Drosophila melanogaster: one gene and its partners. Changing the gene in region 1 together with any one later gene gives a genetic interaction. Each region holds a gene or a part of one and is shown on either strand. Other genes may lie near its edges. The genes, in order: dgo, Vang, Mlp84B and Akap200.

Evidence for each region.
Region 2: of dgo (region 1) and Vang, changing one enhances a phenotype caused by changing the other (phenotypic enhancement), as found in Drosophila melanogaster (2 studies listed by BioGRID).
Region 3: of dgo (region 1) and Mlp84B, changing one enhances a phenotype caused by changing the other (phenotypic enhancement), as found in Drosophila melanogaster (one study listed by BioGRID).
Region 4: of dgo (region 1) and Akap200, changing one suppresses a phenotype caused by changing the other (phenotypic suppression), as found in Drosophila melanogaster (one study listed by BioGRID).

The regions. Positions count from the first base shown.
Region 1 is NT_033778.4:10,815,496-10,821,767, reverse strand, and holds dgo (diego), read left to right. Parts: upstream 1-1,883; 5' UTR 1,884-2,476; intron 2,477-2,664; 5' UTR 2,665-2,667; coding exon 2,668-2,727; intron 2,728-2,793; coding exon 2,794-3,219; intron 3,220-3,274; coding exon 3,275-5,572; 3' UTR 5,573-5,731; downstream 5,732-6,272. Other genes in the region: Lsm10, read left to right, coding at 158-583; Prosbeta5 (proteasome beta5 subunit), read right to left, coding at 785-1,486, 1,549-1,695.
Region 2 is NT_033778.4:9,101,670-9,107,331, reverse strand, and holds Vang (Van gogh), read right to left. Parts: upstream 4,095-5,662; 5' UTR 3,757-4,094; coding exon 3,516-3,756; intron 3,449-3,515; coding exon 1,944-3,448; coding exon of another isoform or gene 1,863-1,943; 3' UTR 536-1,862; downstream 1-535. Other genes in the region: CG8777 (uncharacterized protein), read right to left, coding at 4,213-4,375, 4,435-4,622, 4,682-4,856, 4,917-5,348, 5,407-5,662.
Region 3 is NT_033777.3:7,112,335-7,119,577, forward strand, and holds Mlp84B (muscle LIM protein at 84B), read right to left. Parts: upstream 5,399-7,243; 5' UTR 5,317-5,398; intron 4,383-5,316; exon of another isoform or gene 4,318-4,382; intron 3,505-4,317; 5' UTR 3,426-3,504; coding exon 1,938-3,425; 3' UTR 516-1,937; downstream 1-515. Other genes in the region: Alh (alhambra), read right to left, coding at 6,624-6,714, 7,128-7,243. UniProt on the Drosophila melanogaster protein: Plays a role in cell differentiation late in myogenesis. Transcription factor Mef2 is essential for expression.
Region 4 is NT_033779.5:8,413,878-8,418,709, forward strand, and holds the start of Akap200 (A kinase anchor protein 200), read left to right. Parts: upstream 1-1,812; 5' UTR 1,813-2,009; intron 2,010-4,832. Other genes in the region: CG13398 (uncharacterized protein), read right to left, coding at 1-1,002. UniProt on the Drosophila melanogaster protein: Scaffolding protein involved in the regulation of PKA signaling and anchoring to the actin cytoskeleton integrating signals propagated by cAMP, diacylglycerol and calcium.

The DNA of each region.
Region 1 (6,272 bases):
ACGTGAAAAAGGGAAAAAACCTTTACTTGAAAACTTCCGTAAGTACTTCTCTTAGATGTAGTTCAAAACTAATTAATGAAAATGTCAAATTACTTATGAAGCGAGTTGGCAGCTCCGTGTCCAAGAGCAAACACTTATTTTTAAACATATCGATATAATGCAGCAGTTTAGTGCGCGGGAGAAGTATTTGGTGTCCAACACCTTAAATTGTTGGCCCGTGATGCTGCAGGGTCATTCCGTACTGATCGATCTGCACAACGAGACCTCTGTGGCCGGAATCATCGATGTAGCGGATGGACACATGACCTGCGAGCTCACCCATGCAGTTTTCATCGATCGCAATGGTGGTCAGCACCCCTTTGATCACTTTATGGTGCGGAATCGAATGATACGGCAGATCCACATACCTTCGTACTTGGATGCCGAGCAGGAACTTCGAAGCGCAATGGAACGGGGAGTCCTGCGAAGAAAGCGAGTGGAAACCAAGGGCGGAAAGCGGACATTCAAGCAAAAACGAGCGGAAGTGCGACACAAGGAAACATTGCAAATGATCTCACAGCAAAAAAAGAATAAGGAAACCTAAACTATTAATATATGCGTACTTGTTATATTTACCAAAAATACATTACATACATACAACTACATTTATAGTAATAAACCTATGAAAAGCAAAACAAATTAGCCCAATCAATTATACACAAAACATAGTCTCTAGCACGTTTATTTATTCCAAGAAATTCAAACGTATACAAACTGAATATCTTATATTCCCTTAATCAAAACTCTACTTAGCGGCCTGCTGCTTCAACTGCTCCTGGTACATGTAGTGCAGCTCCATGCAGTCGGTGTTGGAGATGTTTACCCAGCCGTCCTCCTTAATGTGATACACGCGAATGATACCACCGGAGTAGGCATCCCTGAAGGTGGCATGGTAGATGGCGCGACGTCCCAGCTCCTGGGCCTCCTTGTCCTCCAGGTCCCAATGATAGCCAGAGTCCAGGACACCGTAGGCGTACAGCGATCCACTACCAACAGAGAACAAATTGCCAGGCGTGCGAGATCCCTCGGAGTCCACATAGTAGAGGCCTGGACCACGCTTATCGTAACCGGCCAGCATCATGCCCATGCTCAGACCCATTCCCTTGTATTCGTGGGCAATGTTGGCCATTATCTTGCTGGCGGCGGCCACCGAGATGCGTTCCTTGTTTCGAAGCTCGTGAAGGCGGCATTCCTTCGAAAGGACCCTGTCCCAGTAAACGCAATCGGCTGCGCCACCGGCCAAGGTGCCCAGCATGAACTGATTGATCTCCACGATCTTCTTCATCGACTGGGAGCCAATGTACGATCCACCCGTGGCACGGGAATCGACTGCCAGGAGAACGCCGCCCTTGAACTTGAAGCCCAACGTTGTGGTGCCGTGATCGAAGTTGATTTTGACGCCGGTCTTGTCGCCATTGGCCTGGATCTGATTAAGGTTGTGCAGGGGCTGAGGAAATTGTCAAATTTTTTAGTAAATTTCCCAAGAAGATCAGCTAATTAACTACATACGTTCTCGAATGGCGGAGCAGCCAGTGTGTAGGGATTGGCCAGATTGCACATAAGCCCTTTTTGCTCTTCCTCCACATCCGCCGATGACCAGGCATTGGGCCGCATGTACGGAGCATTCGATATCTTGCAGATTTCAGCTAAAGCCATTCTTAAAGCTCCTTAAAAAACAATTGGAAACGTTGAATGCGAAATGCCGATGACAAACAAAATTCGTTGCCTACTTGTAGAGTGACCGTACTTCTGTTGGAGCAATAATGCAGACTATCGGCTTCACCGTTAGCTGTCGCAGGTACGGCAACCCAGCTCGAAACCTGTTGCCAATTTTGCCTGTGATTGGCTTTCTTTTAGTCTCTTTTTAGGCCTGGCTTGAAGCCAAATTAACTCTGGGCGTTCCATCAATCCATCAATGGCCAAATACTGCAAAGTCGGGTACTGAACAATAGTCGAAAGTAAACATGTGTAAATACGTGAGAGTGGCGAATTGCAATGCGTAAATTGCGGTCCAAAGACGGGATTTAAAATTAGTGAAAAGTAAGTCGGGAATCGAGAAAACCTAGGCGCACTTTAAACCTGGTTTTCAGGTCTAGAAATTTACTGTAATAGTGTTGAACATTTAAGAAACCATACATGTTTTATCAATGTGTTATAATGAAAGACATTTAATCTACCCTCAAAAAGGTTGTATTTCAAATTACGAGTCCTTTATTTGATCGCTTTTGGTAACTCCCACTTCTATTTGTAATGACAATTACTACGTGGTACGCCATTACGTGAGGCACACATACATGCGCATACACGGCTAGAAAATGTGCGATCGAAGATCAGATTCATTTGATCCCAGGTCAAGTTAAGCTCTTTCGTCGTCAACAAGGTTATATCAAAGAATACCATCTTTCATATGATTTTCGACATATAAACGATTCTAACGGTAATTACGGTACTTTAAGTAAGATTTTTCATTTATTAAAGACAAAATGTAGTTCTAATATAAATAATTTTTTTAATTTTATCTGGTTTTGATAAAGTGTTACTTAAAAAGTTATAATTGCAACACATCATGATAAATGAATGAAATTATAATTTAACAAATTTGATAAATAATGAATATTTTCGCAGACAATGCAGCATGGATCCTCCCGCATTCCGAAACAGGAAGCTCTCCCGAATGCGATATCCGGGGTAAGTAAGGGCACTTGCCTGAACCAACAAATCTTACACCGATGTAACTTCTTTTTCTGATTTAAGCCCGACTCCAGCAATTGGACTTCGCTGCACGAGGCGGTAGCCGCCGGAGATGATCGCCGGGTGGAGGGTCTCCTGTTCAGCAATGCTGATCGACTGGCCAGGGAATCCGTGCAGGGGAATACCCCGCTCCATGAGGCCGCCAGTCGGGGGTTCAGTCGCTGCGTGAAATTGATCTGCACGCCCCCCACGCCACCCGCTTCCTCGGGGGTGGGAAAAGCAGCAAAGGGACAGAAGGACAAAGACAAGGATAAGAACAAGGGCAGAGTGAAGGTGGCCCACCAGACCATCGAAGCCCTACACAATAGCGCCCTGGGTATTGCCAACAACGAAGGGTTGTCCGCCCTGCACTTGGCCGCTCAAAATGGTCACAATCAGAGCTCTAGGGAGCTACTGCTGGCCGGCGCCGATCCCGATGTCCGGAATAATGTAAGTGTTGGATCATATCAGTGATAACCATGTTTAACATGTTTAACAATTTCAGTATGGAGATACTCCGCTGCACACCGCCTGCAGATATGGACATGCAGGAGTCTCCCGGATCCTGCTCTCCGCCCTTTGCGATCCGAATAAAACAAATCTGAACGGCGACACCGCTTTGCACATCACCTGTGCCATGGGTCGCAGGAAGCTGACAAGGATTCTCCTAGAGGCAGATGCTCGGCTGGGCATTAAAAACGCACAAGGCGACTGCCCCATGCACATAGCGATCAGGAAGAACTACCGTGAAATCATCGAGATCCTGAACACGCCGAAGAAGATACGGAATCGCAAGGAGAAACCCAAGGAGGGCGGCAGCAGATCGGACAAGGACAGAGATCGTGAAAGGGATGTGGTGGACAAGGGTATCAACTGGTCACCCTATGGCTGTCACTACTTTCCCGATCCGCGTGCCTTTCCTTCACCAAAACTGGAGACACTGCCCAAGGAGCCACTTAAGTCGGGGGAGCAATACTTCCTGGATTTGGCTGGTCATATTCACAAGGGTCCGGTCAGCGTGGGCAACACATGCTATTGCGGTCCCTTCTTCCGTCACATTGAAAACAAACTAAATTGCAATCGAAAGAGTTTGAAGAAATACGTTCACAAAACCAAGGAACGTCTAGGTCACAAAGTTCAGGCATTGGCAATCAAGACGAACGATCAGATTGAACAGCTCACAAGAACGATGATCGAGGACAGATTGCGATGCGAGAGCAAGAGGCAGCACCTCAGTGAGTTCCTGCGACGAGGTGAACCTATGCGGTCCACCTTCGATCAGCAGAACAAGAGCTCAAGGATCGAAAGAACAATGTCCAGGTGCCGCAGTCTAGAGCTCTTGGAAAACAACCACGAAGGTGGTAGGCTCACCAACTCACGGAGTGTAGATGTCCTGGAAGATCAGGCAGTGGAGGCTATAGTACACCGATCAGCGGAGGTCCAGGTGGATAGCGACAGCGATGACGATTCCAATGAAGCTCGGGATGAAGAAGAGGCAGAAGTGGGTGACAAGGACCAGGTGCAAGAAGAGGCGGAACCAGAGGAGCACTCGAAGCTAGATGAACTTAAGCTAGATTTCCTAAAAGTCTCCGAAAGACTGGGAGTGCTTTTAGAGAAAACCACCCTGATCATGGAAAGGGACAGCGAACAGGAGAGCAAGCGCCAGCTTTCTTCCTTATCGCCACCTTATAATCCCCATCCAAGGGCGGAGTCTGCCCAACTTCGAGAAGATAAAGAGAGTGTTAATAGTCCCAATTTCGACGAGTACGCCAACGTGATACGACGCTATCCGAACTCCAGTGAGACCTCAAATCCCTCCCAGAACTCCAACAGCTGGGACTGGGAGGCATCACCCACGGGCAGCAATCCCCACCCGGATTACAATAAGTACTACCAGCGCATTGGGAGAGGAGAGAACATGCTGAACTCGGTGATCAAGGCGCTTCGAAAAGATGCCTCCTTCGCGGATCTGGGCAAAGAGGAGACGGCTGTCAATGAAACTGCCGAGGGAATGGGAGGCGACAAGCTGCTCTACAAGGAGCAAGCGAGCGAGGCGGCAGGTATCTCCAATCTGATGAAACGGCAGCCTCTTTGCTTGGAAGACAACTATCCCGTCATGTCGAATTTATTTTACTCCAATCCCATCATGGAGTACGCCGAGGAAACAGAAGTGCGTCAAAATGGCAATGAAAGTATGAGTAAGGTGGAGATTCGGAACAGTGAAATCAAGTGCCTAAAGAAGCCGAACGCTGGTCAGGTGAGGGATATGGTGGCCCAACTGCAAAACACCATTGACTCCAATCGACAGGACTCCCAGACGGCACATGTGATCGCCGCAAGATCACACTCCCGCTTGAACAATAACTTCCATCACTTGGAGGGCACCTCTTCGAACCCTTCGCCCACGTATAGTATTCCCCACCGGAGTAGCGCCCAGTTTGGGCTGCCCGAGAGACACATACCCAAAGATGCTTACTTCCATGAACTGCCCCACCGTCCACCGATTCCGCAAACTCCGCAGAGAAGGCTGCACTCCGGCTACGTACCAAATGCGAGTCTCTATCGCAGTGAAGATCTTTACGTGGGAAGGATTCCACATCCAAATGCTCCACCAAGACAAGTGGACTACGTGGATGCGGTAGCCTATAGGCCTCTGCAGTCCCCCACCTTTCAGGCCATTGTGCCGCCCCATGTTAATCAAAGGCCAAGGAACTGGCCTCATCCCAATCTTCCATCCAATGAAATCGATCTGGACGAGCTGTCTGCCGTTGGCCTCTACAACAATGTCTCGAGTCTAGTTTGAGTTCGGTAATCCCACAGCTGTTCCCATTGTACATAGCTAATCCCTACATATTTATCTTAATTGTAATCAAGTTTTAAACTACAAAGAAAAGTTAACTTATTTTCAACTGATGCATCTAATCTGGAGGGTCTAAAATATATAAATATAATACAAAGATATATGTACAATAATTTTGTTGTTTTTTGTTGAGGAGTTTTGGGTCTGAGTGTTTTCATATTCTGCGTAATTTATGAGAATATCGTGTACTTAATTATTTGGTTATTCCACTTTTGACCCCAAAAATACCCAAAATATTAAAAACGTTCCAACCTGCTCGCTTGTAAATCAAACGCAACCGAATGTTTTCGATCAAAATATATTTTTCTTTAAAAATGTTTAATAATAGTATTTATGCATGTGTAAATATCAGAATGTCAAGTACATATATTTATTGATAACAGATCATTTTGGTGTTTTGATAGACATGCGGCTTATGAACTCTGTATAATTGTGTAAACGAAATCAACCAGGAAATCATCTCAATAATCGAGCTCCGATGTTTGGTGGGAATTCAAAAAAACCAAATCCCCACCGCTGACAAAAGTAAACAAGTAAATTGGGCAACATTTTGATATCGTTCACCAATATGTCTGCGGTATTGTTAGTACAATTTTAGCAAGTGCCTAATGATGATTTCTCGATGTCTTCGTAGTTAATTTAA
Region 2 (5,662 bases), 1.7 Mb from region 1:
TAAAATTGAAAGTTCTATACCAACAGCACTGACGACGCACAAGCCAAAAAACAACAGCAGCGCAAGCTGTTGCCTATTATTGTTTAAAGGATATCTGATATGTTAGTATTCCACTCACATTTGGCTAGTATTTATGAAATAATGTAAATAAAAGCGAACGCACCATCCACCACCAGGCACCAAATCATGGGTTTCCTCAGTTTGATATTTAAGTAGCTTATGAAATGAGACCATCGTGCTCACTCCACTTGAATTAATTGAGCTTATTACTCTTATCATAGAAATTCGAGAGGCATTCGAGTCTTTGTATCACAAAGAACTTGAAACTTGATTGATTGCGATTAAATCTACTCATACATTATACTTCAGTGCGATTTGGTAAACCTGCTGGGCTCAATAATCAATATAGGAACTGTTTGTTAATCCCGAGCTGATAAGGCAACTTTCAGACATTCAAAAGACCCCCAAGAATGAATTAATTACGTGCGCATTTCCACGATTTGCGTCACCTTCGAGATAGAACAATTCGTTTAAAGCTGTTAAAGAAGTGGGTTTGATTTATTTACGCATTTTGTTTTTTATGCTAGTTACAATTACAACAGTTACAGTTTGAGAGTAAATGTATGTATAAATGGTATGTATGCTTAGGTTGGTTTTCCAATTGCTTTAAGTAATTGCTAGATAATTGCAATATAAAAGAGCTTCGACAGAAGACATTTAGCTAGAAAACGAAAATGAAATCAAACCTCAAGCAAACGTTTCTAAGTAGTTTTGTAAATAGGTATATATCATATATGTATGTATATATAGATTGGGTTCACTGGAACGTACACATGTTCGAATACGAATTCGGGTCCTTATCACTATAATTTTGTCTCTAAAAATACACGAGTTTTTGTATATATGTGGTTGCTATGCACAGGCTAGTACATACACCTGCTAGTGGCTGTTGGCAATTTGTGTGTATAAAATGCATATTCAGGCAGTCTTCGCTTATATTATGTATTTGTCATCAGTTGCATTCGAGTTATAGTTGTTTCGTCGTTTCTCAACTTTGTGGCAGAAGAGTTAGGACCATTCGGTTTCGGCTTAAAATGTGCGTATGTAAAATCTTATTAAGTCGCGTCAAAAGTGGCCAATGCACTTTCGACGCAAGTCCGAGTCCTAGCTAAAATTCCATGGGCTTGCCTTGGCTCACTCCATTCCTTCTTAAGGCTAGCGATCGGGCTCACGCCTCACAGATATCGGGTAAAATTTTAGATATTCCGCGAAGAGTAAGCCCAACTTTACACTAAACATATTTACTAAAATAAAAATCGTGTATAAAAGAGCTGCATTTAAGAGTTGATATCTGAAGATCGCGGTTCGGCAAGCCAAACCATCATTCTTATAATTAATACTTTGGGAACTTGTAAGTCATGTTTGCTTATCAAAGGGTGTGATATGTTCGCGTCGGTTTAGGATGATACACTGGGCTTTTGAGCATTGTTTCTTGATATTCGGGTCATAAGTTCAAGTTTAGCACTGATAAGTACGTTGCCTTCTCATCTAATAATCATTTGTTACAAGATCAAAATTTAGCTGCTGAGGCCTGCCTAGACATTTTGTTCTCACAACAACTTTTCCTTTCTAAACTTCCATGTTTTTTTCTTTTTTTTTTTAAATTCAGGGTTTTGATCGATTTAAAAATGCTCCTCTTGTTCATTGATAAGTAATTTTGATTGCTTGGTTTGATTGGTTGTGGTGTTTCAGGCATATATAAAAATGAATTCAATTACCCTGATGGCAGTTCTCACAAGAACGTCATCGATTTGGCTGAAGTAAAGAAAATATGTGAATATGTGAATTAGTAGCTGGGAAAATCAGACAAACACATGCAAGTAGGACGATTGCGTCTGGTTGCTATGAGTGGGAGTGTTGATTGGAGGGGCGTTGTGGTGGTGTCATACGGATGTTTCGGAGTTCAACTTAAGAACAAATTTGTTGCTTTTGGGATCCACAACCTCCTCGGCCAGGTTGAAGTGCGGCAGCTTGTGTACGGTTACCATTAGGGAGACATCGTTCTGAATTAACTGGAACGTGCATTCGTTGCCAATTGGCCGAGAGACGATCTCGTCGCAGATCAGGGACCAAGACTGCACCCAGCGTCGCTCCTTCTCGCTCTGCATCACCGGAGACTCGGTCAAGTAGGGTTCCAAGAAGGCGCGGGGCGACAGATCATGCTTTAGGCAGTGCGCCAGATGTTTCAGTATGCTCTCAAAGGTATGCCGCGGCTGCTGACGCGTAACCCGTAAGTATTTTTGCAGCGCCCTGGCCATCGAGGGAAAAACCGCCGAGGCAGCCTCCTGCGGATCGAGCGGCAGTGCCGGAGCCGGTTCGTTATGAATGCGTTTGATGTGGGTGAAGGCCTCCTCGGCGGCGGTTATAAGACGGGCACGCCGTTTCTTCACACGACGTTCGTACTCGTGCTCTTCGTAAAAGCGCTCGTTATGCGAGGAGTCTCGGCGCCGCGCGTTGGCTGCTAGAACTGCTCGACTCTGGCTTTGCTGTTGCGAATTGCTCACCCCATCCACTTCGTAGTACTTGAAACTGTTTGATATCTTGTTTCGCTGCGATTTGGAGACCGATATTGGGATGCGCTCCAGGTAAGGGTTAAATATGGGGAAATCCACGTAGTAGTGCTGTAGCACCCACACAGCCGCCCGTTGGATGCTCAGCTGACCCAACATGTAGGAGCGCGAAACGCCGTCCGGGGAGCGAATGATCTTGATGTAGTAGCAAGGCTGCTGGTGTCGCAGCTCTAGTAACACCACGGCCACATAGTGAATAAATAGAAGAGTGTCCACAAAATTGGTGGCATAGCCTACCAGTGACTTGTAGTCCACGGCATCGCCGCCCGTCTCCACAACGATTTTGGCCCCGTTTGTGACCTGCACGATGTAGAAGAGCCAGTAAGCAAACGTGCAGATGGTGACGAGAAGGAGGACGAGAGCGCGATATAGGAATATCCGTGGCATGGTGGCCGATGTACGTCGCATGAACACTGCCCACAGGCCGATGGCCAGAAGCAGCAGCCGGGCGGCCAGCGATACCAGTTGGCCCTTGCACTGCTCACTGCAGGCCAGCAGCTGGGTGCGAACAGTTTGCGTTATTTCCGGATGATCGAAGGCCGACGGAAAGAAGCCCACATACGGCATCACCACCATTGCCACTGGCGAAAAAAACGCTCCGCATCCCAGCAGGAAGTAGAAGCTCGACTCCACGTATCGGCGGCACGCAAAGCTGAAGCCCTTGTCGCTCTCACGATGCCACATGTTGTTTATGTCCTCCATTGAGATGCTTTGCTCCGAGGTATTCCCCGTGACGGCGGTAGTATTCTCGCCCCAGTTCTCGTCCTGCGGAAGGATTTGCACCTCGATGACTTCCTGGCCATCGTGGCTGCCGTCTCCTGGTGCCCAAATAATAAATGGGTCAATTGGTTTCCTTCCACCGATAGAGCCATTAAACAAACTCACCTGTCATATTAACGCTGGTCTGGTACGGTGCCATGTCGCCACGTTGAAATCCCTTGGCCGACTTCGAGGAGTGTGTGCTGCGGTGGGAATGTCTGGAGCGGTCCCGCTCCCTGTGATAGCCGTTGTTGACACTGCCTCCTCCGCCACCACCTCCGCCGCCACCCCCTCCGCCGTTGTTGTTGTGATTCCGCGAGCGTCTGGAGCGTCCACTGTGTTCCGACTTGACGGATTCGTTTTCCATTGCAATTGGGCTAGCGCGCGAGAGCTATGCCCGATTCCGAATCTCCTGCTCGCGAAGAGACGTGCCCCAAATCACCTTGCAACCTGGCCGTGCAGCTATTTTAGTGTCTAACTGTAATTGCGGCGGCAGCAGGTTTTTCATACGCAGGTATGCAGGGCGCAGTGCATAGCCTATAGGCGATTTAGAGCTTTATCTGCGGCTAATTCTGCGGCACATTGTCACTATTCGTGTCTTGCATGGCTATTTCATACGCTATTTAACTATTTCTCGCACATTTTTCGCTTTTTATTCACTTTTTCGTGGACTTGGCTTCACCCCCGACGCAGTGTGACCACCGCAACACAATCAGCAGCACGGTCACATTGCATTTAGTGTTTTCAAACACTATCAGTTTGGCAATTCAACCGCCAAACTGATAGTTTAAATTTTAAAGTAAGTTTATTTTGTTGGACAATATCATGAATTTGCAATAATAGCGGAAAGTAATTGTCTGGCTCTCTGGTCAGTTGGGCTTAGCAGTATGGCGCGCTGCAACAACTTCATAGAACAGGTTTTGTCTACTGCACTAACCGCCTGACTGGCATATATAGTGGTCAGTGCCTCTTCGCTGGCCAAGATGCTAAATATAAACAAATTCAGTCTATCATAATACAATGTATATAAATTCCCAAGTCTTACCTATTTTGTTGCTTAGTGTGTCCCAGAGTAAGAGTTATTCGACCCATATTTGAAGTAGCCAGTCGATAGGATTGGTCATCAGAGAAATAATCAAGAAGAAACTTTAGCACGACACTTCGCAGACTTCGGGAATTGGGAAACATTCGTATGCGAGTCTGTAGATAGCACAACGCTCTTCGGGCACCCTCCTAAACAAAATCATAGTATTACTTTTGTAGAACCACAACATTCACCACTTTTAACGAACATTTATCAGGATGTAGTGAGCCGTTAAATAGGATATGTCGGCACAATACTCCTTCTTAAAGGCGTACGCATTCAGCTCCGTCAGTATCGTATGGATCAACGCATTATCTCTATGAAGTATACCTAGGGCAAGGGCTGAAAACAACGCCTGAATGGGGACCTCCTTCAACAAGACACTTTTGGTGATTATAACGTTAGAAATGTTGAATCAACAAAACAAATATTGCGCTACCAACCACTGATAGAGTAGGGTTTTGGTGTCCGCTTCGCCCTGAAAGTCGTAAATCATGGATGCCATAGCCACGAGGATGGTAGCTGCTTTGTCATCGCCATGATCAACCACGTTGCCGAGAACGGAGTTGTAAATAGAGTAGGATTCCTGCAACTGACCGGCTAGATAATATGCCTGGGCCAGGCCAATGATCGGCTTAAATGTGGCATGTGCAACCGTGTTTAGGGCGTGTGCCGCCTGCTCCGGCTGGTCTATTTTTAAGTACAGGTATCCCAGATTCGTGTAGAGCTTGTCACGATCCGCTCCAGGTTCGCACAACTTACACGCCCGAGTGAAGGCTTCGATTGCTTGGCGATACAGGTTTTTCCGGGCGTAGAGAAATCCCTGGAACGACAGCGATGCTGGTGTCGCATCCGTCTCCTCGTTTTGCACATACCTTAAATGTATTGCAAGTCTTTAGTTGGTTTTAGATAGGGCATTACTATAATACTTACCAATTGATGGCATCCAGCGCAAGCACATCAGCGTACATGTGTTCGATGGCATGCTTTATGCGCGGCTTGTCGAAAGATCCAGGAGTCGACAGCATTTCGCACACCCAATGCGCAAATCCAAGCGCCGCCTCCGGATGGTAATCGAACTGCTGGCAGTGACGAAACAGATCAAAGGCTTCCTCGCGATCGCCAATCAACTCCGCAACCATTGCTTGTCCAATCCAAGCGTTGGCGTACACGGGACTTGATTGCTGGG
Region 3 (7,243 bases), on another chromosome or scaffold:
TAGCCATTATCATGTTCGATCCGTTATACAAATAGTCGCGGACTTCAGCAAGGCATAAATCTATTCGCGCCATTCAAAGCCAGAAATTGAACATTAATAACATACTAGAAAAGCCATATCGAATACGAGTAGAATACATCTCCAAGTATATTTAGAGATCAACATCAGCGGCGCAGTCCGCAAAAAATATTCTCACTGTTGTGGCTCGTCAATTCGGGTGTTTTTGAAGTGCCGTGTGTCATATGCGAAACAATTTCAAAACCAAAATCACTCGAAAATAGACGCTGACTCGGTAAGTCTATAAATATTCTCGCCAATGCGATACCAAAACTAACGTAAACACACCTGGCTGAAGGCGATTTATTTGATATTTGTGTCTGAAACAAAAAAAAATTATATTAAAACAAAAAATAATTTATTTAGTTTGGCCAACCCCTTGGCAACGTATTTTCGTGGTCAACGTCACGGAGCATAAAACCATACCATACCTATAGGATGTCGAATAAAATGAATAGAAATGTGAATAATGCGCGCAAGTGGGCGTGGGACGGAATCATTAAAATTTTGTTCCCAAGGGGTTATTTCGGGTGGGGGGTGATCCTAAAAGTGCATTAGCAATAAGAACTTTGCTCTAGGTGGGTGGGTGAGTAAAGCATTTATTACACAACATTCTCAGCAGGCACGTGTTATAATTATTATAATATAACTAGGGATTCCTCACAAGTATATATGCGAATAAATACAATCTCTTAAGTTCTTCTCTTGAGTGAGAGTTTTGAGTGCTGTGAAAAGCTTTCGGGTCAGCTGTGTGAGGCATATTGGCATCATATTTATATTTAGAAAACCATTTCAGTACGGTTATGGAACATTTCGATGTTTTTCTCGAGAGGCCACACACACACACAACCAAGGATTTATTCCTGTACGTATATGTAGGGAACGTTCTTTGTGCGTATGTTGAGCAATTATTTTTCACGATGTTTGTCGGCCGAACAAGCTATATATAGACCAGATGAGCTGGCTCAATCCGAACCGAACGATCCCGAAACAAACGGAATTGAACTCAACCCAACCACCCACCGGTCATTCCAATCAGATTGCCAACCAACCATTTAGATGCAGAAATCTCAGGTATGCACACCCAATTAAATCAATTAAAACTACGAAAACCATTTCGAAATCATTTTGTTTTCATGGAACCCACTGGGGCATATATTATTGGATGTTATGTGTGTGTGTGTGTGTATGCAGAACATGTACGCTGATGTATATATATATAAATAAATATTTTATATCTGCCATGGCTGGCATCCCAAACAGAATGCAAGAGATTAGATGGGTGAGAAATCATTCAAACATCATTATAAATAATCAGATTTCATAAGTATATCGTAAGAACTAAATCAGCTAAATATACAACATCATATCTTTCATCATTGTTCGTCGTAAGAGTATATTTATGTGTATAAAATTTTTCCATTTGCACAAAGTATGCTTTTGGGTAATTCGATTTGGAGCATAAGACATACTTGGCTGGTCTTCGAAAATAAATAGTTTAAGATACAAAAAAGTAATAACGACTTTGGCTCGCAGCAGTTTCACCTGCAGAAAGTTTTGCTTTTCTCGATGTGGTCAATGTCGTTTAGTTCGTTAGTCTGTGTTCGATGGTTAGTTTCGCTTTGAGTCGTAAGTTTTATGTTTTTGGCATTTATTCTTTTTTTCTTGTTTTCATATTAAACTTAATCTCACATAACCTAAAGAAAATTGAATTGCATTCAGTGCATCGTTGATCAAAAATCGTTGGAAGCAAAACGAAGACTAAGTTAGCTAATTTCAGGGATAGTTAGTTAAAACAGATTGGTCATTAGACAGATGCATCGGAACGGTTCACAGACATGGATGTGGGTTTCGATTGGATATACATAAAATAGGCTCGTTTAGAACGTTGTCAAAGCGCCCGCGCCCAGACCGTAGCCCACTCCCTTGGGTCCAAAATTGCGGCCGTAGCAGGCTCGGCAGTAGATATCGCCGTCGGGTCCATCGTTCAGGTTGGTCGAGTCCAGCGATTTGCGGCAATCCGAGCAGTAGAAGCACCTCTTGTGCCAGATCCTGGTCTTGCTGATCATCTGCTCGGCGGCGAACACGGCGAAACCGCAACGCGGGCAGCCGCCCGAAGTCTTGGGTCCGGCCAGAGGACGGCCATCTGGGAACTGGATGGTGCTCTCGCCACTGGTTGACACTAGAGTGGGGGCGTGGCCGTAACCAAAGCCCTTGGGGCCGAAGAGCTTGCCGTAGCAGGCGCGGCAGTGGATGTCGCCATCGGGTCCATCGCAGGCCAGGACCGAGTCCAATGGCCGGTGGCAGTCGGCGCAGTTGTAGCACTTCTTGTGCCACACCTTGCCCTTGGACAGCTGTTGCTCGGCGGCGAATACGGCTCCTCCGCACCGGGGACAGCCTTCGCCGTCACGGGCCTTAATTGACGTGGTGTCCGGGTTATAGAAGGGCCTGTTGGCGCTGATCTGATCCTCGGTCAAGCCATCGGTCTGCAGGAAACCAGAGCCGCATGCGAATCCATAGCCATGTGGTCCCCACTTCTTGCCGTAGCAGGTGCGGCAGTACACATCACGATCGGGACCATCACTGGCATTGATCGAGTCCAGAGTCTTGTGGCAATCCTTGCAGTTGAAGCACTTCTTGTGCCACTCCCGACCCTTGGAAAGCTTCTGCTCCGCTGCGTAGACCACACCGCCGCAACGTGGGCAACCCTCACCCGGACGGGCCTGGATCTTGTCCACATCAATGGCGGCACGGATTTGCGGTGCTCCGTCGTCGTGAGCATAGCAGTCGGACTGGAGAGCACCACCGCCCTGGCCATAACCATAGCCCTTGGGTCCAAACTTCTTGGCATAGCAGCCCTTGCAGTAGATGTTCTTGTCCGGAGCCTCGCAGCACAGGATCGAGTCCAGACCCTTCTTGCAGGTACCGCACTTGAAGCACTCCTTGTGCCAGCTGCGACCGCGGGCTAACATCTGTTCGGCGGCGTACACATAGCCACCGCAACGAGGACAGCCCTCACCTTCGGGGGCACGAGCAATAGCCCTGGGTTCCAGGCGGGCTCCATTCCTTACGGACGGCACATCGCCGTTCTCGCGCAGGAACTGTGACCCGTTGTCCATGGAGAGGGTGCCAGCTCCAGTGCCGAAGCCGTAACCTTTCGGCCCGAACTTGCGACCGTGGCACGTCTTGCAGTAGAGCTCGCGCTCGTGCTCTGTGCAGTTGGTGGAGTCCAGGGATTTGTTGCACATTCCGCACTTGAAGCAGTTCTTGTGGAATACATAGCCGCCAGCCAGACGCTCTTCGGCAGCGTAGACACTCTTGCCGCAGCGCGGACACTTGGGGGCCTCGATCGGTTGGAAGGAAGGCATTCTGTCTGTGTTTCGGTTTTTTTAACGCTATCAAAATGATCTACGCGAGTACAATTACTTTACTTATTAAGTTTATTATCTGAAATAGCAAAATAGAAGAACACATAGAGTCGATGGGATCGTGGCGTAAGTCCTGCTGGGAAATGCAGCAGAGTGGAAGCTTTGGTGGCGATGAAAGCGATGAGGTAAGCATCTGTCATTTTTGTATGTTAAATGGTTTCCAAATTATTCTAAGCCCAACTAGTTAATTCAAGCTAATCTACATGTTAACCTATTTGGACGATTAAGACGCTTGTTTTATCTTAAGTTTACAATGAACTATTACAAATTCAACTTGACAGTCGCGAATTTCTCCTCAATTTGCATTATGTAGATCATCTATCAAGATTCTTATCTGTCAGTCGAGACGTCATCGCCCGTGCCAGAAAATTACCCAACCGGACGTATGTATACGTAATTCATATTGAAGATTCCTATGTTAATGATCAGAAAATAACATCTTTCTCATGACAACAAAAAATAAAGGAGGAATTTTTCAAATCACAGAACACAGAGAAAAACATGAGCAATAAATGTGTATCTATCTATACAGAAAATGTTGTATAAAAATAACGCAGACAGGTAGATAGATTTGGGAAAAGCACACACAAAAAATAACTGTGGCAGATATATATATGTACATATCTGGGTGTTCTAAAACTGAGTCAGAGCTAAAGCACCACCATCAGATGAGCATCGTCCCTGGCCGGTAATCTGGTTATCTAGCGGTTGCGATGGATTAGTCAGGTGCTTTGCAATGGTCTTTTGCTGCGTGCAAAAAAATCGGTTAAGAGCTGGCGATATCCAACCGTTGGGTGTGAGTGTATTATAGCCAAGATAGAACGGAACCTACAACGCACTAAAACCACACACGGAAGCGCCGAGTACTGAACTGGAAGATTGCTCAAAGCAAACTAGTCTATATAATTGTGAGTGCACACGGCACGGCAACGCGGTCGACTTTTCGCCGCTGCCACTGAGTTTTCCTGCTCAGCACACCGAGTTGAGAAACTTAAGATGCGGCAACACGGAGCAGTTTTCCTTCGTTTTATTTCAGTTTTCATCAAATAACGCCAGAGAGTGGGATGGAAACATATTGGTATGCATCTGCGGTTTTTAAACTTTTTCGATTCTTCGAAAAAGTTTTTTATTCCATATCCTTCACTCGTTTTTTCTTGACCGTATCTCATTCTTGGATGTTTGCTAACTTTTGTGTATATTATATGCACATTTATCCCAGTGGGAGATTATCAAAGATGATCGAAAAGTTGCATATCATTGGAAACCTCAGGCATCTGGGAGTTTGTTTATATTCCCGACTAAATATAATACTTTTTGCATGCAATAAGATTATAAAACTCATCAAAATGTACGTGTTTTTTACGTCGAGTAAGGACTGTATCTTTAATTTTTCTCTATTCAAGGATAGTGACTATTCGATTTGATCTGATGAAAAGATGATCGATTTGTACTTGAATAAAACTCGATTGAAAAAAAAACTCCTCGCAAATAGTTCTCATTTTATTGAGTGAGACAGTTTCCGTAAAGTTTTTTCACACTCGAAAAAACGGAATCTATTAATAATAGTGTGTGGGAAAAATGCTTCCTGTGTGGAGCCATACATTCCTCCTCTCATTTGTGGGTCAAATTATGGTCCAAATTACGCACAAGTTCTAAATTTAAACGATCGCTTGACAAAACTGTATTTTCATCGCTTCGCGTTTGGTTTGTAGCAGAGCTTGAACCGATATTTTTTAGACAAGCACAACACAAAATATTGGAATTTACTGGGTTATGCGTGATTGGTTTTGGTTTTGGTTTTCGTTTTCCATTGACAAAAACTGATATTTACTTTTCGTTCGTAATAAAAAGGTTCGCAAGAGAAATATCCTTAATTTTAGTTTAGCTTCGATTAACAACGATTTTCGACTGATCGCGCTGAAAAATTTGTCAAGCGCTTTCAGTCTTTGTCTGCACACGGCACGAAGGCAACTTTGTCGCCAGAGAAAATGATAGGGATGACTATATAGCCCCAACAATAAATACATTAGCCATCCGAACAAGAATCCCAACAAATCACAAAATATCTGCTCTCACATATACAATATGCTAGTATACAAGAAAAATGTGCTTTCATAAATTGTATATACGGTCATTTTATAGCAGAATATTCCAGGTGATCGTGCTCATGACAAGGCGAAAAAGATGATGTTGGTATTTTATTGGACCAACAACATGGTTCAACTGTCTTGTTCAAAGCCACTGCCTGCCTGCCTTTCGGAACATTGGCACTTCAACATCAATAAATTAACATGCGCATTTGCATTTAATTAAAATTCGATATTTTGCCATGCATTTTTGGTTCAAAAGGAAATTAATGGGGCATGGGTACATCATTGAGCATCAATCAGATCGGCAAAATAGAACCAGACATGGCGGGGGCCAACTCGGCCAGAAAATACCTCTTAATATCATTACTAAGAATGATTTCATTTTGATATTAGTTCTAATGGTATGATTTTACCGATTATTTTAGTTTTGAAATCAAAGTAGTAGTAGTAAGTTTCTCAAATTTATAACAAACTAATTTAATATTTGATTTATTACAGTATTTCGATCGAAACACACACCATTTTAAAAAATGGATCGATCGAAAATTCCGAAGTTCAAGGGGTAGCATTGAAAAACACGGAATTTCTTAAAGACAAGAACGGGTGGGCAACACCTTTTGTATAATTAACGCGCACCTTCGGCAGAATTTCTCAAAACATTTTTAACATGCATTTGCAATTGCATTTCCACTTATAAGTATGATACAAAAATTGGCAAGGCGCCTGCGTTCAAAACTTTTGGCGAGTGAAACGAATATAGTAGTACTCTCTGTCCCACTCTTTAGGTTTGATCAGAGAAAAACTAAATGACAAGTTGTATACAAGTGTAAAAGATAATGGGAACCATCATTAATATAGCAACATTGTATCCAAAAAGAGAGAAAACACTTTAAGAGAATGTTTCGCAAAAATCACTCAAGAGATCCGAAACAAGTTTCCTTAAAAGTAAAAAAGCTTATATTAACTCAATATTTCGGAACGATAACTGAGTTGTTTATCATTCTATTAATAGTATGCTAAAAGATAAACAAAGAAAAAATCAACTTACCCTCTTGGAGCTCTTCTCGATTTCCTTCTCAAAATCTGTTAGAGGCGTCAGTGCAACTTGAACATCTTTGATATCATAGCGGGATATTAAGCTACAGAAACAACCGAAAAATATATTAGTGTGATTTTTTCTATACATTGTTTCAGTAGAAAAAGGTCTTATACGGGGTTATTTTAGTATTAGTATATTCTCTAATAAACGAAACGGATTCCAAAAGTTGCCTTTTTCAATGAAATTACAAAAACATATTTAAAAAGTCTGGTTTCTCAGTAACATTGGGCACTGTTTAATATACATTATGTTCTAATTATTACAATTTATTTAGAATAACAAAATAAAAGAGTTGTCTACACCGGGTGTTCGATAAATTAACAATTTTGCAAATCATAGATGTGCAACACAGTCCCATTTGTTTCTTTAAAATCAGGCGTAAACTAAGTAACTACCAAATTTTGAAAAATGTAAATTGTAAAAGACCTTTTCTTTGCGTTTCTCGTTCCCCACCTATTGTTATCCTCCAGAGCGGAGCCAGAGGTGGAAATACTGCTAGTGGACTTAGCAGAATCCGCTTTTCGTTTTTTCGATGACGAGTTAGAGGAGCTGCCTGAGGAAGTGCTCGT
Region 4 (4,832 bases), on another chromosome or scaffold:
TGATAAGCCGCTGCCAAATCCATTGATCGCCTTTGATGAACCCGCCGGTCCCACGGGACTTCGCGGCTGATCAAGATCCAGCACTATATAGTTTACTCCGCAGCTGCCCGCTAAGCTGGTGGGCGTGGCCGGCTCTTGATTGGAAATTGGTTCCCTCGGCAGCAGAGGGAGCTCCAAGCGATTTACGTTCTCATAGCAGCGCTCATTGTTCAGATCAAAGATCAGAGCTTCCACATTGGCGTACATGTGCACAGCATCGTTGGGACTCAGAACTGGAGCTGGTGCTGGGGCCGATTCCAGAGGTGGCAAGTCCATCGTGCGCCTACGTGATGTCAACCTATTGCCGGAGGGCGGGGTGGAAAGCAAATCCGAGGCGGTGCCTTCCAGACAACAGTCCTGCAAAGCCCGCAATGGCTGATCCAAATAGGCACTGGGTATCAGGACTGGTGATTGCAAATTGGGCGGAGAGTCATCGACTTGCGAATCGTTGGCCTGCAGCGGATACGATGCACTTGTGCTCGAGGGCTCACTGTGGAAGTTGCCCAACTGGCGGCTCATTAGGGGAGCCGGCTCTAGATAGTTATTGCCCTCAGTACGGCCCATATTTACGGACACCGAATGAGCGGAGTTAACCCTTTCTCGTTCGCCCTGCACAAAGGCATCTGTATTCACCGCGTTGATGTAGCGCTGAAACATCGGATACAGCTGCTCGGCATTGTGGACTCGAAACGTGTAGATCCCTGGCCCAGACATACACCTACGTCCTGCTTCGAAGGAGAAGAGATCGTTATTCAACCCATAACGTCGGAGGTGTTGCAGTGCCCAGACAATGGGCTCACAGCCAGGCGACTGGAATATTAGTTCCCGGGGCGTTAGCTCCAGGTAGCCACTCCGGATGATGGGCGTACCCGGGGTGGGTTGCAGGTGAGCCACTCGCACTCGAAACACATTCTCATGACCGCGCAGCTCATTTAACTTGCTGCTGCTGGTGATGCAGCCCATGGTGTTGCACTGAAAGACGGAGTATTATGCATTGAAGGATTATCCACTCCAGTCATGTACAGTGCCTATTGAAATGCACACCTGGACAGGCAAGTCCGCCTGGCTGTTATCGCAGCGGGCATGGAAGAAATCGCAGGCCGATAAGAGCACCACCCACCGCCTCCACCAGCTGAAATCAGCTACCCAGTGGAACTGGAGGCTCTGGGGTGCAGTCGAATTGTGTTGCTGTTATCCTGGTTGACTCCTCCTGCTTTGGTTAACTCCTGATCGACGGGACTGCTGGCTGATTGTTGTTATTTGGCCACGGAAATTCCGTTCTTGTGGTATAAAATTTCTTCTGCGACTTTTCCCCTCGCCCGACAGAACGCAATTGTGAGCAACGGGCATGCTAACTTGATTTTCGCAAAAAGACTTACAAGAAACGCTTTTTAAAAAAGTAAACGGAAAATCAAAGACAAATTACAAGTAATTACACTTAAAGAATGAAAAACTAGTTTAGCCAAGTTTAAGCCAAGGAAATATTAATATTTCAAAATTTATAGAAAAATATTGCAAATGTCAGCTTAATAGAAGTTTTCTCTCGTTTAATAGAATAATCTTGAAGATTTCTTACGTCGTAATTTTTACGTTTCTGCAAATGTTTACTGCAATTAACAAGTAATAAATAGGATTCAGATGTAAACAAATATAATTTATAAAAAAATTTTAAGTTAAGGCATTTTAGTCATCTTAATTGTATGGTTAACCATTTGGCGGAACATCAACTTTGTGGACAGCACTATAACTAGACCCGAAGCCCTAACGCGTTCTAACTGCGAAAACATCCTAACGCGACGTAAATACCAGACCCGAGCGGACATTTTTTATTTGTGGAGCGCGCAACAAGAACGAGAAAAGAAACCGAAACGGAAAGCAGGCAAAAAGAGCTGCTGCCAGTGTAGAATCGCAAAGCAAAGAAAGAAGCAAGTGCGTGTGTTTTTAAACCGAAACCGAGAGAATCGAGCCAGGTAAATTCCACTTTAAGTCATAAGATCAGAACATAAAGGAGTTAATTTAAAAAAATAAATGAAAAAGAAACCAAAGCCAAGCAGGCAGACGGCTTGCGTGTGTGTGTGTGCGTGAGTGGTGCTACTTTTGAAATTCTCTATACCCGCTTTGAATTTCGTGTTTGTTTAAAGGAATTGTGATTGAAAAGGAGACAAAGAGTTATTGACGAAAAGTTTCTAACTGGTTTCAAAAATGGTAACTGTATTTGAGGCACAAGTGTTTGTAAAAGAGACGCCCGCCGACGCTCACACACACAGGCAGGAAAAAGGACGCCATGGAAGGCGGCTTAGTGTGCGTGAACGGTGAAGAATGGGAGAAGCGAAGACTAAAAGAGATATTTAAATGGAGTTTTATGCATTTAAGGAGAACTTTCTTTGTCATTAACCCCGCCCCCGCAAAATACAGCATTCGAATTTCGCCACCTTGGAGTAGTTGCCTTTTTACAAAATTTTTGGGTGTGCCGCCTTCAATGCGTCGGCGTTGCCACCACGTCGGCGTCCGCAGCAGCAGCGCAGGCAGTGACGGCGGCAGAGGCAAACACCATGCCGGTGTGGCTTTGTATCCGTATCCGTCTCGCTCTCTCTCTCTCTCTTTGTCTCTTCGGCTCAATCTAGCGCTCTCTCCTTTTTGTGCCTCGCCTTCCTTCGCCTCGCCCGCTCATCGCTCTGGTCCTTTGTGCCATCGCTTCGCCTTGACTTCTGGTTCATTGTCGTTGTCTCCTCTTTGTTTGCATTGTACGCCTGATTACACTTGCCAACATGTTTCTACCTTCTCAGCCAAACATCCTTGTGCAAGGTGCACGCACATAGCGAGTGCCCACTGTGGCCATTTGATCTTTGTATACGTTTCGATCCCTTTTGCGTCTCGGTTTACTCAGATTATCGATACGAGGAGGATCGTCTTTTTGTTTTTCCTACACTTTTGTTGCGAAAAACTGCGTCGCACTTTCTGCAGCGTCGGTTTGTCAGTTCGTCCGTCCGTCCGTCACTCAGTCGTTCAATCGCTCAATCGCAGACGGGCAGACAGCCACCGCCCTAACTGGCGTCGCCTACATGTCTTTGTGTGTGTGGTGTATGTGCTTGCGTGCCTGGGGTAGTGTGCCTGTGTGCGTGCCTCGCTGCATGTGTGAGTCCTTTACGAATGGAGTGGGTGGGCAGAGGCCGAGGAGGAAGAAGCAGAAGCGCAATCACAAGATTTTCGATTGTCAACTGCAATTTATACTACTGCTAAGAGAATTTTATGATCTACTTGCAACGCTGAATGCTAATGCCTTAAATTTTAGTAGCCTCTGTCAAGGATCTTAAATTCAAGTTCTTGTCACAATCATATTTCTTAAGTATATAATTACTTTTATTGTTAAATATTTGTACTGTACTTAATACGTAAAACGTATTTGACAAGTGAAATTTCATGATTGCTCTACTGAAATCTTTTCTTTGAAAATGAATGCTCTTCTTTGTGTTCTAACCTGACCAAATTTATTTGTCAGTGACCCAATTTAGGCACCAAAACTGTAAATATTTCCGAAAATCTTATCAATTTGCCTGTTGAAAATTTGATTAGGAATGGAGTTTGCATTCTGAATTTTCCCCACTCCCGAAATTTGAGCAAATTGAATTATTTCGCTGCGATTTCAGGTAGCGGTCGCCAACCGAATGTATCTTTGAAATTGGTTTATTGTTAAGGAGGAGGGGAGGGCGCCCCATAGAATTTGTGGCGGGTTTTCCCTTGAAGTCGGCTCGAATTTCGTGTACATATTTGCCAGTCGTTCACTGAGGACGAGCATATACATATAATGCTTTTTGGTGTCGCCTTTATTGGCGAATTTGTCAACGTTTGCTCAAACTCGAGTAAACATTGCATTGCGATACGGTGTGGAGGGACTGGGGGCAAACATGCCGTTTCGTCAAGTGCGATTCGCGGTTAACCAGCAATGCTCGATCGCACAATTGGCCTTAAAGCTGTCGATTAGGGTTTAAATTTAACTGCGAACTATTTGGAAATAAACAGAAATCTTTTCCGGAATTACAATACAGTAAAACTTGATATTCTAAGAAGTTATAGATGGTTCACGTACGGTTATAGAATTTCTTAGTGCAGTAAAGGTGGCAAAGCATGTACGAAAAACATATTTTCGACTATTTACTAACGCATGTAATGTTATTGACAACTGGAAAGATTCCAGGAACATGCCTTTTGTTTATCAACATAGTAATTATATATCAATGCTCGTGCAGCTACTTCCTGGAAATGAGTGTAAGTAAGCATGGTCATTTTGGAAGTAACCCATACGATCTAATGATTCGCAGAACGGAGACACCGGTCTGCCAGGGCACATTTGTGCGCTAAACATATGAAGCTCAAAGTCCGAAGCTCAATTGGGGAGCATGGGTAGCTGCGTATATATGTATGTATATGGGTGTGTGTGTAAGCCAAAGTGTTGAGAGGTCCTTTGTCACCGCTGCCATACATTCGTATATCTACGAAAGCGAGCGAATTTCTCATTTAATATGCAAACATCTGTGTGAAAGATGTTCGAAGGCTGCCGCTGTGATGTGCTGCTGCTGGGGCTGTGTGAGTGGAAAACGTTTGCAGATTGAGCTGATTTTCATTTCACGTTCTCTTCTCGAACAACTCGAGTGATATAGCCCTCGGTTCGACCACTTGAGGCCACTAATTCCGCAGGAATTCGGTATGGTTTCAGGCATACTATCATAATTGCTGGGGGTGCACATTAAAATTTTTTTTTTTTTTGTGTTGTAGGTGTTGTTGTTTTGGGAGGC